3 linked regions of the Caenorhabditis elegans genome follow. The protein of the gene in region 1 purifies or fractionates together with the protein of each later gene. This does not show direct contact. Each region holds a gene or a part of one and is shown on either strand. Other genes may lie near its edges.

The links. The genes of interacting proteins can lie anywhere in the genome.
Region 2: the proteins of F49C12.15 (region 1) and sesn-1 fractionate together in Caenorhabditis elegans (co-fractionation; one large-scale study listed by BioGRID). This does not show direct contact.
Region 3: the proteins of F49C12.15 (region 1) and fbxa-170 fractionate together in Caenorhabditis elegans (co-fractionation; one large-scale study listed by BioGRID). This does not show direct contact.

The regions. Positions count from the first base shown.
Region 1 is NC_003282.8:9,322,558-9,328,018, reverse strand, and holds F49C12.15 (Serine/arginine repetitive matrix protein 2-like), read right to left. Parts: upstream 3,564-5,461; 5' UTR 3,549-3,563; coding exon 3,519-3,548; intron 3,423-3,518; coding exon 2,979-3,422; intron 2,933-2,978; coding exon 2,343-2,932; intron 2,296-2,342; coding exon 2,203-2,295; intron 2,124-2,202; coding exon 1,012-2,123; intron 958-1,011; coding exon 689-957; intron 641-688; coding exon 569-640; 3' UTR 503-568; downstream 1-502. Other genes in the region: clec-183 (C-type lectin domain-containing protein), read right to left, coding at 1-9; nspg-11 (DUF19 domain-containing protein), read left to right, coding at 3,944-3,986, 4,030-4,126, 4,170-4,259, 4,678-4,841, 4,890-4,999, 5,320-5,461.
Region 2 is NC_003279.8:27,089-34,440, forward strand, and holds sesn-1 (Sestrin homolog), read right to left. Parts: upstream 5,461-7,352; 5' UTR 5,395-5,460; coding exon 5,324-5,394; intron 4,985-5,323; coding exon 4,681-4,984; intron 4,456-4,680; exon of another isoform or gene 4,435-4,455; intron 3,337-4,434; coding exon 2,681-3,336; intron 2,280-2,680; coding exon 2,012-2,279; intron 1,318-2,011; coding exon 1,192-1,317; 3' UTR 503-1,191; downstream 1-502. UniProt on the Caenorhabditis elegans protein: May function as a negative feedback regulator of TOR function.
Region 3 is NC_003284.9:1,675,703-1,680,098, forward strand, and holds fbxa-170 (F-box domain-containing protein), read right to left. Parts: upstream 2,420-4,396; 5' UTR 2,406-2,419; coding exon 2,209-2,405; intron 2,156-2,208; coding exon 2,075-2,155; intron 2,024-2,074; coding exon 1,312-2,023; intron 1,038-1,311; coding exon 795-1,037; 3' UTR 503-794; downstream 1-502.

The DNA of each region.
Region 1 (5,461 bases):
TAGACGCATTTTTTGAACCAGTCTGTTTAGACAATTCCCAGCCGGCTTATATGGAACACTTTTTGAAATTATAATGAATGAATTTGCATGATGAAATGGAAATTAGAGGAAATAATTTGCAAATTGAAAATCAGAAATTATTGATGTTTGATACCTTTATGAATTTTTCGAAAGTTTTATATTTGAAAATTTTACCTTTTTTATCTTTCAAATTTTGAAGATAGAGAAACGAATTCGAGAAAATGTAATTGTCTTTCTTCCTGCACTGTTAGATGAAAATGGCTTAATGAACTGATGGTGCCTAGATCACCATCTCACTCGGGTGGCTCACAAACAACGTGCGAATATGGTCGTTTTCGTGAAGCGTAAAAATGGGCCCTTTGCGGCCTAATGCGGATACCATTTCAAGACACAGACCTGGCAAAGTGAACAGTTGTAAATTTTAGGCATTCGGAAAGCTCTTTCTATAAAAACATTTCTCGACTAACAGAATGGACAATTTCAATAAAAATTCATTTTTTCATGGCTCAATACATCAGTTCAGTTCAAGTATCTAGTAGTAGTCCAGTTATTTTTGCTCCTCGTCTTTTTTCTCTTCATCTCCCAAAATGTTACTGGCTTGACGAGCAATTGTTTTAGTCTGAAAATCAAAACATTCAGAAAATGAAAATACATACAGAAAACTGACATGACTAGTAGTATTTGCACTTGTGAGATTCCATTCTGAGCTCTTTTCCCACAACTTTTGTCCTTTGAATGTGAAACCAAGAATTTCAACTTCTGGATGTTTTTCAGCAAGAAGCATGAAATTAACATTAAGCACAAGTCGTTTCTTGTCAATGAGCATATCCAATTGAACACTCTCAGGGAAAGCACGTTGTCCATAAGAAGTTGAAGGAACTGTTTCAGAATTCACTTTGATTGGTGTCATTTCCAAAGTTTGATGGGTTTCTTTGACTTAAAATTATAATATTTTTGACTGAATATATAAAAATTAAGAATTAAACTAACCTGCACTCAAAGTCACAATATTCGACTCATCCGTCTGATTGAATGTTCTCTTCAAAGTTGGAGTTGCAGGAGATGAAGCTCTCGATCTGGCTCTCAATCTCTCACTCAGATTCACTTTTTCCTCTTTCACAGTTTCTTCTTTCTTCTCACTAATCTCAGGTGGCTTTCCATCTTCTTGGCGAACTTCACGAATGACTTTAGTTTCCTTCACGCGAAGTGTTCCTTTTGGAGATTTTGAAGCAGATCTGGGACCAGTAGAAGCTGCAACACGTTCTTTATGCAAATCTTTAGCAGACATAAAAGTCGAATTGGCTGATCCAGTGTTGTACATGTAGACGGAGGTGCCAGGAGAAGTTGGAGGTTTTGAACTGATCATGGAAGATGTTACATCAGTTTTTCTTGCCTCTTCCTTCTTTTCCAACAAACTGGCCAAATTCTTCGATGCAGATGGTTTCTTCAAGCTCAAACTTTTATCCAAATCAATTTCATTGTCACCGTTTCTTGAAACTGATCGCTCTCTAATGCTCATTGCACCACGCCGAGACGGACCCTCGTCGGGAGTTTTCTGCATGGAATTCTTCACTTTGGATTCAAGAACTGAAGAGTTGAGAGAAGAAGCTGGACTTTTCGGAGTGGACGTGGCTTTCGGGAAAGATTGATAAAAAGTCTCATTCCCCGTTGAGTCGACATGCTCTGAAACCTTAATCTCACTCAACTTGATTGGATCCTGATCTGGACGAGCATCCTTCTTGCATGACTGTCTATCAGGACTTGGAGTTCTGTTAGTTTTACTATCCCTCTTTTGGAGAGCCTTATGTCTCTTGGCACGAGAACGAGATCTACGCGAAGAACCAGAAATATTCGGAGTCTTTGGAGAATTGATGGAAGAAGAATTTTTGGAAGATGAACTGGTTGATGCTGGAGGTGCAGAAGGTTTCGTTCCTTGGAGAATAGATACCACTGATTTTCCAACAGTTTTGTTATCATCCTTCTTTTTCTCATCGAAGAAGAACTTGAGTTCTCTGTATTCTGACGTTTCTTCTCCAAATGATCCCATTTCGTGATGCCACATTTCCTTCATTTCAGCGACAGAACTGTGACGAATTGTGATTCTGAAAGTTTTTGATTTCAAACTACATTTATAAATTAATCAGACTCCTACGCTTTTATTAAAAAGTAACAGTCACTTACCCAATGTTTTTGCTGTCAAACATGAGATCCTCACTGAAAGTGATAGTCTTGGTTGGATCAAATGTGGTCTTGGAAGAGTTAATCGAAACATTTCTGTAAAATTTAAATGAGATAAAGTTTACCATTGACAAATCGCTCACCCAGAGACATTAACCCCAGTAAGACCAATCTTAAATTCCTCAGATCTGATGTACTTCTGATCAACAACAGAAATAGTTTCCGAACATTGAACATTCAGAAATCCTTCCGTTGATTTTCCATGATCTCCCGAGATTTTCGTCTTGCAAATGTTTGCATAGCTCTTCTCTTCTGTGATGGACGAAGTTTTACCCGAACGAATCTTTCTCACATTCTGCACTGTATGAATATAAATTCCTTTGGAGGAATAGTGAATCTTCGTAGCAAACTCTTCTTCTGGTTCATCGTCTGATGACTTGTTCAAATCTGTTGACGAACGAGAAGTTCCAACATACTCAGCTTCAACCATTTCAGCAAACAACAGCTTACGGTCATCAAGGGAGAGCTTCTTGGAAGTCAAAAGAACTTTGGTCACAAACTGAACAGTCTTCTTTTCACTTGCACCAATGACTTGTTGCTCGGTGAGAATAAAAAGAGGAGATGGAAGATTAATGCAATCCGGTGGTGGCAGTTTTTTTGATCCAACTGAACTTTTTTTGGTCAAATGTGTTGGGAGGCGAAGGGGAGGAAGAGGTTGAATAGGTTTCTCAATCTGAAATAGAATATTTAGATGGATGTAGGAATACATAATTTGTTACCTTTTCTGGACGATCTCTGTAGCGAATTGGAATTGATTGAGCACGAGTACGTGAAGTTGATCTAGATCGAGAACGAGATGCTGACGATGATGGAGACCGACGACGAGCACTTCTAGATCTTCTCAGCTTGCCACCACTTGCAGATCTAGTACGAGCAAGGCGGATTTGTTGGTTCATTGTCGATCGGCTTCTGCTTCGGCTTCTACTTCTGGAACGAGAAGATGCAGTAGACTGAGCACTTCGGATAGCACTATTCACAATAGCCTGACGTCGAAGATCAGCTGATCCACGTCGAGCACGTTTTGGGTTCTCAACTTCACTGATAATTGTGATCTTTCTTTTTGTATCCTTCTCAAGTTTGATTGTAATCTCTGCTGGTGGCTGATCACTTGCAGAGACATAAAGACTTTCTTTGTCGCTCATCGAATCAACTTCAGTGCTTTTCTGGAAAATTACTCTAATTGTAAAAGTTAGTTTTTAAAAGGATTTCACGAACAGTTTACTGCATAAATTGTGAATGAAATCCAGAGTTTGACTCACCTTATCACTAGAACGTTTCTTGCTCTCCATATTTTAATTTCGTTGTCAGCGAAATAAATTTAAACTGCCAGAAATCTCCTTTAAATATAGACGATTGACCTTTCGATTCTAGCGGTCACGGAAATAATATTTCAACTCTCGTAATTTCTAATATTTTGTTAAATTTTTTAAAAGTTATTTGTTATACATTTTTCATCCCATTTGAGGCGTCCTCTCGAAAAAATAAAGTTTACATTTCAGAAATATATGTCCTTTATGTTCTAAAACTGTTGAACTAATAAATCCGATTACTCTTTGCCAACTCTTATCAATAATTAATAGAGACTAGAGAGTTTAGAGAGACGCCGAGAAAATTGATAATCTCGTTGAATTGAATTAAATTTTTACTGAACTGTGAGGAGTGGTATACTTTCTAAACGAAAATTATGACACTGAATATGAAAAAGCTATTAATCCTAACAGCCATTGGTAAGTCTATAAATATATTTTCAAAACAATCCATAAATTCGAGGTACATCATTGGCAAACGCCTCGTGTGACACTACAAAGTTCGTTGCCTGCCAGGACAAATTTGCAGATAAATTGGGAATCGATAGAGTTTTTAATTGGTTAGTTGAACGCGAATTAATCTTAATTTTTTTTTGATTCTAGGTTGAACCCTCTTGGTCTCACACTTCAAATTCAAGATATCTACATAAATGGTGGAACTGGTGGTGTTAGAGGATTGAATGCTGTTTGCAAGTAAGTAAAGTCAACAAGGGTTTTGTTGTAAGTTGTTACACTCCAGATGATTACCAGAGGACTATTGTATCAAAGAGAGCTAATTTTGGTAGAGACAAAGAATTACAGGTTTTAAAAATTTGTTTTGATTTATTGTTCGGCTCAAAAAGTGAAAGATTTTAAACCGGGTGGGCTGATGGGAGGGTCTCTCATTCGCCTTTTCCGTAGCTCTACGAGCAGCCTCTACTTACTCTTTTTCTGCGCATCATAGTGCATCGGGCGCTTTTCCTGAGCAAAAAACGGAGAGGCGTTTTATGTACACCGGGGAATTTCTAGTTTGTAGAAGTGAATGATTTATCAGACAAAAATAAAATACAAAATTATTGCGAGGATTTATAAAATCTTCGATTTCACTGATCATAATAAATTTCAACTTCAGTTCATATAATTCAATGGTTCAGTGTCTTGCCGATGCATCAACAACGACTTTTGAATGTTTTGACATAGGATATCTCTTGAATCATTCAAATGCTCCAAACCAAGCATATTCATATGGTTTCTTGATGAGTATGCTACAGTATCAATGTGGAGCTGGTTTTTATCGTAAGTTCCAGAAAGAATTGTACACTTCTGAAATATTTATATTTTCAGTGGCTTCTGACAATTGGTCGTGTATGCAGCGAATCTACAATGGAAAGAATGCAACAATGTACGGATGTATTACTGATTTCGTGCTCAATGCTCAAGAAGATCCGAAGAAGGTGAGAAAACTAAAATTCTTAAAACTTTTGTTTTGTAAATCAAAAACAAAGGTTAACACAGAAAAGCATAGAGTTCAACTAATAAGTGTGAACTTATTGATACCAACACACTATTCGATCTCACCACGAACTAATTATTTTCAAATCGGAGATGTGCCTTTAATAAGTACAGTAACCAATTTTTTCTTGCTGAACATCGAGAACTGGGTTACTGTATTCCTTAAAGGCGCATATATTTTTTGCCGCCTTCCTTCCAAAAAATTTTGGTTCGTGGCGAGAGCGCGCCTAAAACTTTTTCAAGCATAAATAACCATTTGAAGGGTTGCAACTATGTTCAAACTGGAATGGATTGTTTTTCGAAAGCATCAATACTCCAAGGATGTCCAGATGAGCTGAAATATTATGGATGCGAGTCTTTCCGTCAGTATTCTCTTCCACAATTTGCCCGTTGTGAGAAGCAAT
Region 2 (7,352 bases), on another chromosome or scaffold:
TATTATGAATCAAATTTGAAACCGTGAATCAATCTCCGCGGAAGGGCGAGTCTATACTGCTGCAAGCGCACTCTATCGCAAATGTACAATTGGCGGTTTTTCAAACAGGAATTAATCGGATTCTCGTAGTTTATTTTGGATTTCTTTTTTCGGGAACATATTGGTGTTTTTGCGTTCAATATTCAAATTTAGAGGAAAACTGCTTCAAATATTTAGGTAAACTCTTGAAACCGCTGAAAATAGGCAAAAATAATTATTTTTGTATTTTTTAGGCTACTTTCTATACTTTTGCGTAAATACTATAGTTTTTCTATAAAACACCCATTAAAATTATTTTTATAAAATGATTTTTCCAATAAAAATAAAATGCGCAAAATGATTCTTTTCCAGAATCCTATATGCGCCTTTAAAATCTCTCGGATTACTGTAGTTTCAAAGAAATTATCCTTTATATTTTTAATTTTAAATTTTTTCCTGAATGTCAAATATTAGGGGAAAAATTATAATAATATGTGCTTTATTCATATGAGTGTAGAATTAGTGAAAAAGAAAAAAAACATGTATGGACTGTAAAATTGGAATTTTAGCGAGAAAATAAAAATAATATGCAGAAAAAATTAAAATTTTCAGGAAAAAAGTCAGTAAAGCCATCAAAAACTACTCGATTTTGAAGGAAATCAGCAAGAAAAATTAGAAAAAAGTATTTTTAAGTTGGAAAACCCCTGCTTGAATTTGTACACTAAATTGGGCATAAAAGCGTACAAATTCGCAAAAACCGGTAAAAATCTGGGGATCGTGATGGATGGAGTGTTTTGTGAAAAAATGCAGCGAAAAATTGAGTAGACAATTTCAAAAATGTCGATTTTTGAAATTTGTGACGAAAAAATTGAACAAAAACTGTTTTTTTTTGGAATTTTCAACAAGAAGTTTTATAAATTTTTTTGTTTAAAATTTTGAATATTATATGAGTTTGGTTTCACTTAACAGAACAATTCGAACAAAAGTATTCTAGAAAGGAAATGTGCGCTCCAGCACACTATTTGCCCGTGGAGCGCACTTGTGTGCACGAACGCTAGCGAGAATGTGTGGTAGAAAGGGAGGGAATAGGAAATATTAACAAAATTGGGCAAAATATGTAAGATTCGGAGAAAGAATTGGAGAAAAATATGTATTTCGAGCTCCGCGAGCTGATCAATCCAAAGGCTTTCTCCATCCTTTTTTCGAGAGGCACATTGCATTATAGTTACACACAGCACGTGTATAATGGAACATTGAAGCCTGGAAACGAGCCATCGCTACCATCATTACCACGTGGATCTGAAAAAATTAAAGTTTGATGATTCGAAAATTTTCTGGAAAAGTTATGATTGTGAGATAAATTGAATTCTTTGAAAAATCAAAATTCAAAAGCTTGTAGAAAATTTTATATATTTTTTTAAGCGTATTTTTTCCGTATACATTTCCAAATTTTTTTGTTACCCAATTTTAAAGATTTTCTTGAATTTTAAAATTTCTTTCAGTAAAAACTTTTTTTCAACTTTTTGATTTTTTTTCCGCATTTTTTAAAATTTTATTCAGAATTATTAGATTCTTTTGAATTTAACGAATTTTTTTCGCTAAAAAATTGTTCGATTTTTCCCGAATTAAGAAAAATATTATTTGGTTTTTGAATTATTTTCCTGATTTTTTTCGATTAATAAATTTGTAAAAACAATTTTTTTTCTAATTTTTGGTTTTGATGATTGTGTTTTTTTTCTGAACTTTACAGTTTTCAAAGTTTACACCGAACTTCCACATTAAAAAATTCTGATACAAAAAAGTATTCACATGATTTTTAAAATTTAAATATTTTTCAAAAAAAATAATATTTAAACTGTGTTTTTTTCGGAATTTTTTTTCGATTTTTTCCGAGTTTTTTTTGGAATTTTTTCCTTTCTGCTCCAAAAATATTCAAATTCAATGTTGTGTAGAAATTTTATTCAAAAAAAGTGTTCAACTTCTGAGTCTAAACCTTTTCCGAATCCTTAAATCCTGGCAGAGCTCTCGTGAATTCAGTTGTCAATTTATGTGGATAGCAAGCTGCCAGTTTAATGAAAGTTTTAGTTCCTTTGTCAAGTACTCGATTAATTTTCGAATAATCATAATCATCGACTCGAACACCATATAATCCTTGAGTATAGTTCCAAATTGCTTCACGGAATGCAGCAGTGTCAATTTCATTCTGATTCACGGCGGCTGGTGGTTCTCCGTCTCCAGATGCATGGGATGAGCCGGATGGCCTGAAAAATTAATTTTTTGGAATTATTATATTTTTCTGTTTTTGAAATTTCATGCATCTCGAATATTTTAACAAAATTACCAAATTCAACTAGATTTCTTACAACTTTCACTGTGTCGATTTACGGGTTCGTTATACGAATTGAATTTGTTTATCGATAGAATATTAAAATTTAGCTAAAATTGAGAAGAATATAAGAAGAAATTAATTTTTTTAATTTCAAAAATCGAGCCAGTAAATCGACACGAGCGATCGACACAGTAGTCATTTAAAGACCAGTTTCCGCCACGAAATATTTCGCGCTTCAAACATGTTGCGTAGTACGTATTCTCAAAATTGTGCGTTCACGTATAATATTTATGCGAATTTTTGGTCTACTTTGTTAGAGAAATCATCACTAACATATTGCCAGTAAGAGTCCGAATATGATCGAACATTCGATCAAGCCGTGACGTCAGTGTATCCGTATACTCATTCATCGTATTATAAACATGATCCCATCCAAATTCTTCAACTCGGAATGGCGGAATATCCTTTTCAGGTCGCTTTCTAAAATCAATATATCCAAATGTTCGATGATGCGAGTAAATTGGATAATTACACGGCGGCTCTTTTTCCATAATATCTTCTCCATTTTCATCGATATTTGCAAGAAGAAGTACAGGCGAGTAGTTTTTCCGATTGGAACTATATGTTGCTGCAGGAGCACTAATTAATGATTCAATAGTTTCAGTAGTCATTGCACACATCTTCGCTGGTGGCCTAGTTTGTCCTTTTTCCGTCTTTTTCAGCTCACTGATCAAATATTCGACTTCAGTTGGCCGACGATCTGGGACTTTTCGGAAATAGGCCGACATTCTCGCCTCCCAATAGTCGAGATCATCGATATTAAGGAAATCAATCTCATCTTGTGTCAAATCAACACGACGTTCCAATCCAATACAGCATATAACTGTGCACATTGCGTGAGTCATTGACATTATTCCGACGGCGTGGTGGAGAGAGCAAACCGAGAAAAACGCAGGACCACCGTCTGGCGTGCGGCGAGCGAAGAGCACCTGGAAATTTTCAAATTCTTGAGAAAAACCTAACATCGTTGTTATACGTTCGTTCTCTTGGCATTGGAGTTGGCAGAATTTGTTTTGAAAAAACGTTGTTTTTTTTTTGAAAGAACATTTTTTTATTACGGGACCATGAGATCATGAGAATTCCTATTTACTGGCGCGAAAATATTGGCAGGCCACGGCAACGAGAGAGCATATGGCAAAGAGAGACGCATCTTATTTTGTCTTGTAATTTTTTTTTAAAATAATTTACAATCCCTTTTCAACTATCGTGATTGTAAAATATTACAAATTTCAGAATTTCGCTACCAAATTATTACTGGAAAACTAAACTCTGAGAATGCGCATTGAGCAACATATTTGACGCGCAAAGCATCTCGTAGCGAAAACTACAGTTATTCTTTAAATGACTACTGTAGCGCTTGTGTCGATTTACGGGTTCGGTTTTTGAAATAATTTTCTTTTCGAGAAGTGACAGTGATATTCCATTTTCCTTCTTTTCTTCCTATTATTTTATCATTATTTGCTTAATTTTAATATTCAATTCATAACTAAATTACTTTAATTCATTTCGAGTAGACATTCAAAGAATTCCGGTAGTTTTCGCTTCGAGATATTTTGCGCGTGAAATATGTTGTGAAATACGCATTCTTAGAATATGGTGTTCCCGTAATATTCAGAAAAGAAAAGATTTCCAAGAACTTTCTGAAGATTTCAATATTTGCAAAATCAGAAACCAGTTCTGAATATTCTTTATTTTTAGAAATTTTTCAAGGTTTTCTAAATAACTTTTCTAAATAACCTACCGTATTTCTTCTATTAATATGGCTGCAATACTATTTTTCGATGGTCTTCCCGCTTGCAATACTATTAGGGAGTGCAAGTCTAATAGGGAGTGCCATACTATTCTTCAGAAAATTTTTCTGTGTTGGGGCTTACTAGATTCTACTTGAAAAAACTCCAATTTTATTTGGAAGTATAGAAAATTTGATTGAAATTGCAACAAAAAGGTACAATAACTTCAATCTCTAAAAATTTTGTTATAAACTGTTGCAAAATAGGCAAAAAATGTTATTAAAATTTTAAAATTAGTAAGGAGTGTTTGCAACAAAAAAAAGTAGGTGCAAGACTATTAGGGAGTGCAACACTAATAGGGAGTGCAATACTAATTTTCGGAAGGTCTCCGAGGGGCAATACTAATAGGGAGTGCAAATCTAATAGGGAGGCCATATTAATAGAAGATATACGGTATATATAGCTTTGAAAAATCGGAAAATGCCTAATTTTTACTTTTTGAGGTTTGAAAATCTCTAAAAATTCAATAAAATTTCAAATTACCGCTAGATTTTTCCAATGAATCATCCATGGTCTATGACAGAGCATTCGATTCAAATAATCCAATTTTCGAAATTTCATGTATGACCAATCAATGCCCAACAACCACATTTGTTGTCCACCCTTTTCCAGAAATTTGCGACGATGATGATCCATAAGTGATAGGCATCTGTGACGTGATGCAGCCATTAGTGCAAGATAATGACGAGCCGAAGCTGGTAGATCACTTATATCAACGAACATATGGCCATAACTTCCTGTCATATGAACATGTAGAGTTGGGTGTTTACATGTGAAACGGAATAATCTGGAAACGTGAGGGAAATTAGTTCGAGACGGGGAGGGGCAGGTTGGCGGTGCCAACCGACAGCCGAACATTGGGGTTTCTCAGCTGGTAGCGCCAGCCGACAGTCTACTGCAGTACTGCAGATAAATTTTCGTCGGCTGTCGGCTGGTGAAAATTTTCATGAAAATCAATAATTTTAAAGAAATTGTTGCAAATTTTTCCCAAACTTGACCAAATTTGTTGGCTGGCTGTACCAGCCGACACCCGAAATTTAGAACATTGATTAGAGGCTGCTTGGCAGAAATAATTTTAAATTCAGAAATTCAATTCGTTTTCAAAAAATATTTTTTAAAACTTTACCGATCAACTTCTGGAATCGGATCAAAATTGAGCCAATCCATGGCTTTTCGTCTTTTAGTTGTAGTGTGCATTGTGTAGATCTTTTTATATTGCTGCGAGGTGAGTAAATGAAGAATTTTCGCGACCCGTTTCTGAAAAAACTCAGTTTTCTAAGGAAATTTTGAAAATAAATTCGAGAAAAAGAAACTGAGTCAGCAAAAGAAAATTGGAAATGTCTGTCTGGAAATATTCGAATATTATATTCAAAAGTTTTCAAAAAAACAACGAAATTACAAGCAATTGTGATCAGAAACCGCGGAAGGAACTGGACGAAAAAAATTATCTTTGAGACGAATCTCTTTGCATCTTTGTGATCTAAAAGATTAATAAAGGTTGTCATCACATTTTTCGAGATTTGGGAATGTGATAAGGGTGAAAAATGGAGATTAATTGTGGTAAAATGAGGAAAAACCTAATTTTTGGTGAGAAAATTGTGGAAAAACTATAAAAGAATCTTTATGGAGTTTAAAACTCAAGTTTTTCACGCTTTTCCGCACTGTGCGGAACGTTTTTTGAGAGAATTTGGCCGAATTCGGTGATTAAAAAAATAATTTCAAAACTTTGCGCCTCAATTGTGATGTATTACCGTACTCTGTTGCCATTCCACCAAAATTTCCTTCATTGTTTTGCCATTTTTCTGCATAATAACTGTTCTGGGTTTTTTTGCTTCATGTGCCCAAATGTACGAATTTCCCTAAAAATTATACCTATTTTTTCAAAATTTTTAATCGCTAGAATTTTTTTTTCTGCATTTTCTTTAAAAAAAGAGATTTCTCGCAAGTAGAAGGAGAAAAAATGTGTGGCTATACTTCTTCTTAAAGAATGCACGACTAGCCATAGCTCAAGCCCCCTCTGGAACGTTCCATCTTCCTCCCATTTTCCCACGTTCAAGAATCATCAGCTTCTTCTCCCTCAGCTTCTCTTCTTCTAAAACCACAACTAGACAAATGTTCTTGTTTTCCACCCTATTTTTCACATAAAACCGCCGAGAAACCCGCTATCACAGACTCAATGCGCACCGGAGGGGCTCTTTGTGTGTGTGTACTGATCTCTGCGTTATATTCGAACACCGGCGCACACTCGGATTGAACCAGAGGGGGGGGGGGAGGGGGGGGGGGGGGTGAAAAAAGAGAAATACTCTGAAATTCCATAAAATCTAGAAGAAGAAAGAAAACAAAGGAAAAATTGGACATTCCGAAGTCAGGCTAAAAAATCTCATAAAACAAAATCTATTCGATTTGTGACCATTTTCATCTATCTCTCTCAAAACCCGAATAAACAAAGCCTCCCGTCCCCAAAGTGTGCTCTCATGCTCTTCTGGAGCCTTCTAGACTGTCTGTAGAGCCTAGAGACAGCGGAATTGCACTGAAGTGATGGAGAGACGTAGAGAAAACGCCTGAAGAAAAAAACGAACACTTTGGTGGAGGAGGAGATGGCTTCCCTCCAAATAAACAACAATTTCTATCGTTTCTCTGTGATTGTGTTCTCTTCTATGTATACTGTTACGATATTGAACAGGAAATTAAATTGAGCACTCTGAATACATAATACACAATAAATAAATACAAAAACTATAGTTTCAGCACAAAAAATTCGAAAAAAAAACGATTTTTTTTGTCCGAGAGGAGTATATGGCCTAGAAAAAGAAAACTCGGCCACTCTGATGCAATAAATTTAAAAAATTATGGCCGAATTTTAGATTTCTCAGGCCAATTTGATACGTTTCTCGAAAAGCCATAAATTAGTCGGTTTTTCACGGGCTTCTTGCCTTCCTCATTGCATTTTTCGCGCTCCATTGGCAATCTCCTGCTGGACAACGCGTGGGAAATCGTGTGCCCCACACGGGCAAATACATTTTGTTTTACAAAGAAAACCGTGCCGCGACGCGACACGCAACGAGCCGTAAATCTACCCCAGATATGGCCGAGCTCAAATGGCCTAACCTGTCAAAATCTTCCACTTCAAAATATGAGGGAAGCCAGAAGCGCGT
Region 3 (4,396 bases), on another chromosome or scaffold:
GAAGTGTGAAACGAGTGTATATCTGTGTGAACTGATAAAATTTCATGTAAAGTTTAACTTTAATATTAGGGTGACCGAAAAAGACATGATCCGAGTTGGCCAGTTATCTTGTCTGAACATGATTTCAATTATTATAATTTTTACATCCAAACTATGTATGACTTTCCGCTTTGTTGGATAGTTAAATATTGAACATTTTTGTCGTCTTTTTTTCTGAAAAATTCATGTTTTTTGTTGAATATGGCCAATTCAGTCAAACATTTTGATATTCTTATATAGTTTTTTCTGCGTTGAACTTCAGGCTTCCCAAGTCATGCCACCAGCTCTTTTTATTGTTGTTCACAACCGTTTGTAGGTGCATGTTCACCTTTCTAATTAGATAGTACCTTGCACCTTTTACGACTATGGCAGAAGACCACGAGTTGAGCACCAGTGAATATCGATTACTTACTCCAAACTGAAGTTTCTGACAAATGGAAATCTGCTTGTTTCCAAGAGAACTGCAATGCACAACCATTTATCATATAACACTGGAAAATGAAAATTAGAATGAGCAAAACTTCTAAACGGGGGAATGTGAGATTTTTCAGTTAGAGTTAGTGGAAGGAAGGGGCTCTAAATAACAATATACTCAATATAGGTTGACATTAAATACATTATCTACAAACAAAATGATTCTATACAAATATTCACATATAACGATAAAATTTGATTTTAATCGCCATTGTAATATATTACATTCACAAATGAAACAATTATATACAAATATTTACATGTAAAGATAGTATTCAATTTTAATCGGAATTGGAACGTTTTTTGATCGAGAACTTGTCAACTGGATCGTCTTCATCAGGCTCATCATTTTTTCCAAAAGTAACCGTGAACTTCGCATTGGCTGGAGTGAAATAATCAAATGCTTGCTCGTCTTCCTCTTCATTAGCGACAAAGATAAGTCCAAAAACATTCGCAACACTTGGTAGGTCCATGACTCTGCTAGTGATATCAGCGCTTATGAAATCGGAAGATTCATCAATCATCTGAAAATAAGACTTTTGCAAATCTGGGAACTTTGCCTTTTAATGTGAAGTGGCGCACTTCTAAGAAGTCTAAAACTGAAGAAGTTGGTTGATTGGAAACTGGGCATGTCTACTTATTTTGGAGGAAGTTCAAAAATTGGGATTTGTCATCATTTCTCGTTTTTTTTTTCAATTTTTTCTTTAGTAAATATTTCTGAATTATAGACAATTTTGGATTTCTTGAAGCGAAATCCCAATCCCTTCTACATCATCTTCAATATTCACATAAACTCACGTCTCGAAGTTTCACAGCGTCTTCTTCGGTGAACTCCCGTAGCACGACGTCGAATAATTTAAAATGGAAGAAGCTTCCAATTGGGACATCCAAACTGAAGCCTCTACCAAAAAACCTCTCAGCCATCTTCCATTGGTCCATGCTTGAAAGATGCTCACAATGCTCGAGGGTTTCAAGTTCCGCGCGATCGAAAGTGTAGGGATCGATATTGAGTGATTCCAATTTTCCAGCAGGGAAGATCTCCAATAGTGAGGCATAATCGCTGATCGATACTTGAAGTGCATCGAAGTCTTCTACCTCAATGCTTCTCGTTGACTTGAGCATCTTAGTGATATCCGTGAAGCATTTCGTGTACAAATCTTTTTCCTCGATACTGAAATCGATAATGAGACTCTGCAGTATCACTCTTCGGTTTTCCAACACCAATTTCAAGTCATTGTGGCACAACTGAACGGCATCGCCTCCTTGAATGAATTTATTCGATGGTTCCAACTTCGGCTCTGTGTCGTCATACTGATCGACACAGGAAACTTTGCATCCTCCATTTACCGGTTGGTAAGTGATTTTGTATCCGTCGTACTCGATCCTTGAAAAATTATTTTCATCCGAACCATTAACCGAATAATTGTGAATGATGTTAAAATCCTCGAGATCAACTTCCGGGATTCTCACGACATCGCGGAACCCTGTGCATACTTTTGCGAGAGCCAATCTGCAATTCATATTTTATTATTTATTCAACTTTTTTTCAAAACTCTCTTACGTGTCAATGAAATCAACCCTGTCGACGATGAAATGAATCATATTGAGTGGGAGAGCATACATAGTCGATTTTGAATCGAGACTGAAAGATTTAAAAATTTATAATTTTAGGTTGATGTTTAAACCAATTTTTACCTTTTATCATGGTCCAAATTATCATTCACGTTGGAGAAATGATAGTACCAGTAGTCGAACTCCTCTTGTGGAATAGCGTCCTTTCCAACCTTCCTACAGAAGTTCTCATAGGCCTTTGAAAGTCGAGTCTTATCGAGTGCTTCGTAGAGAATGCATGCTCGAATGATTTGGTCGTTTTTGCGCAAAGAAGCCGACATTTGAGGAATTGTCTGAAAAACAATACAATTGAATAACAGTAAACTGGGAATTATTTTAATAATTAGAGTTACTAAGAAACGAGCAGATAATGAGATTCCATACAATTAAGTATTTCAAAAGTATGAAAAAAAAACAACTTTTTAAAAAGAGCAAAAACAAAGAAGATTGGATGAAGAATCATCGCCCAAAAACAAATGAAAATTTTGATTAAAAAGGAGAAAAATGGAGAAAAATACTTGTAAAAATACAAATGCAAATCGATTGCGAAACAAGGGAAGAGAATGCGTGGACACCAGAACACTTGCCGCTGTGAATGTAGGATGGCGCACCGCGGTCTGTTCAATAGAGCGCACATGCGCATTTACTCGGCCGCGGCCACGATGAACGGTCATGATCCAATAGTTTTCAGAAACAATGATTATTTGTCTGGATTTGTTTGAATGAGGAGTATCGGTTTGTAATTTTTCATTTTTCGAAATATACAGGGTGGTCCATAATTATGGCGACCTGCTACACGCGTGCAAGAACTTGATTTCTGGGGTTACCCTGTTACGAAAGTTTTAAAATTTGATTATTTAAAAAAAGTTCACAATATTTACTGTCGTTCACGTCAATTTCCATACAACATGCTTCAACTTTGAAAGTAGTGAGAGCCTTACAACATCGGTAGTCTATAATTTTCCTCCATTTTATAGGAGGTCTAGCGCCCGACGTCTCCTGCTGCGCTCATAGGATCAAGCAACTAGTTTCTATGTTTTAAATAATTATCAAGACTTCCGACACTCAAAATAGCAAAATCCGAGACGATAGACATATTTTGAGCCAACTTATGTTCGGATTTAGGTCGTTTTTTGCCCTCTAATAACAGTGCAAACAGTCCGTTGCAAAAAAAATTGCCCAAACATTCTGTATTCTGTGGAATATATCGAAATATTGAAAACCAAATTATCATTTTAAGCTAAGACAAATTAAAACTGGACACATTCGCATTTTCAACATGAATGAGCGTTGGTAAGGAAGAAAAATCACAAAACTTGGGGGAGCTTGCTTTTCTTGACTTTATCAATTTTCACAAGATGCCACTTCCGTCACCGGACACCAATCTCAAAAATTATTTGTGAAAAGCTTTGTTGTATCAAGGGTATTCTTAATATATAATCAAAATAATAAATCACTCAAAGTATCTCATTTAAAAATCACCAATAAGCTAAATCGAGCCTACTTGTGCGCTACGGCCATTCGGATTTTTGAGTGTCTTGTGTTCTGTGCGGATGTAGGTGGTGATAACTATCAAGTATTATATGTCGTTAAGTTTGTTTTTTTCTAACCAATAAAATGTGTATATTCACTTCTTTTGCTCGCTGTCCAAAAAAAAGTTACAGTGCCCCAAAGTGGTCGCCATAATTATGGACCACCCTGTGAAAGTTTTAGTTTCAATTTGGAGAGTGTTGAGTTTTCAACTCATTGGAAAACGATTTTAAATGTTTAAAGTTGTAGTTAATAAAGTGTTCAAAACCACACGAATGGTGCCAGAATGACCGAATATAATAATGTAAAACTTTTCACAAAAAAAGTTTGAAAGTTGTCAAAAAATGACAGTTACTCAGTTGATAAATTGGAATTGCTGGTAAAGCCAACCGACAGCCGACCGACAAATTTTCGTCTGATAGAAAATTTATAGGATAGTAAAAATTTTAGCAGAGCTCGCTGTACCAGCTGAAAGCCGAAAAAATCAGTCAGCCGCACACTCCTATTCAATTTTTTTTTTTGTTTGTTTTAAGTTCAAATTCCACTCGGATTTCAATGGTTACTTAACTGTTATTTTACGTTCTCGGTGAAAACATTGTAAATGAGAAGCAAGAATGAGATACCATTGAATGAAAAACAAAAAATTAAAACAAAAAAGTGAGCAATAAGTGTTGTATATTTACGTATCATGATAAAAAATTCAAAAAAATTTTCTAGATTTTATATGATTTTTTTGAAAATT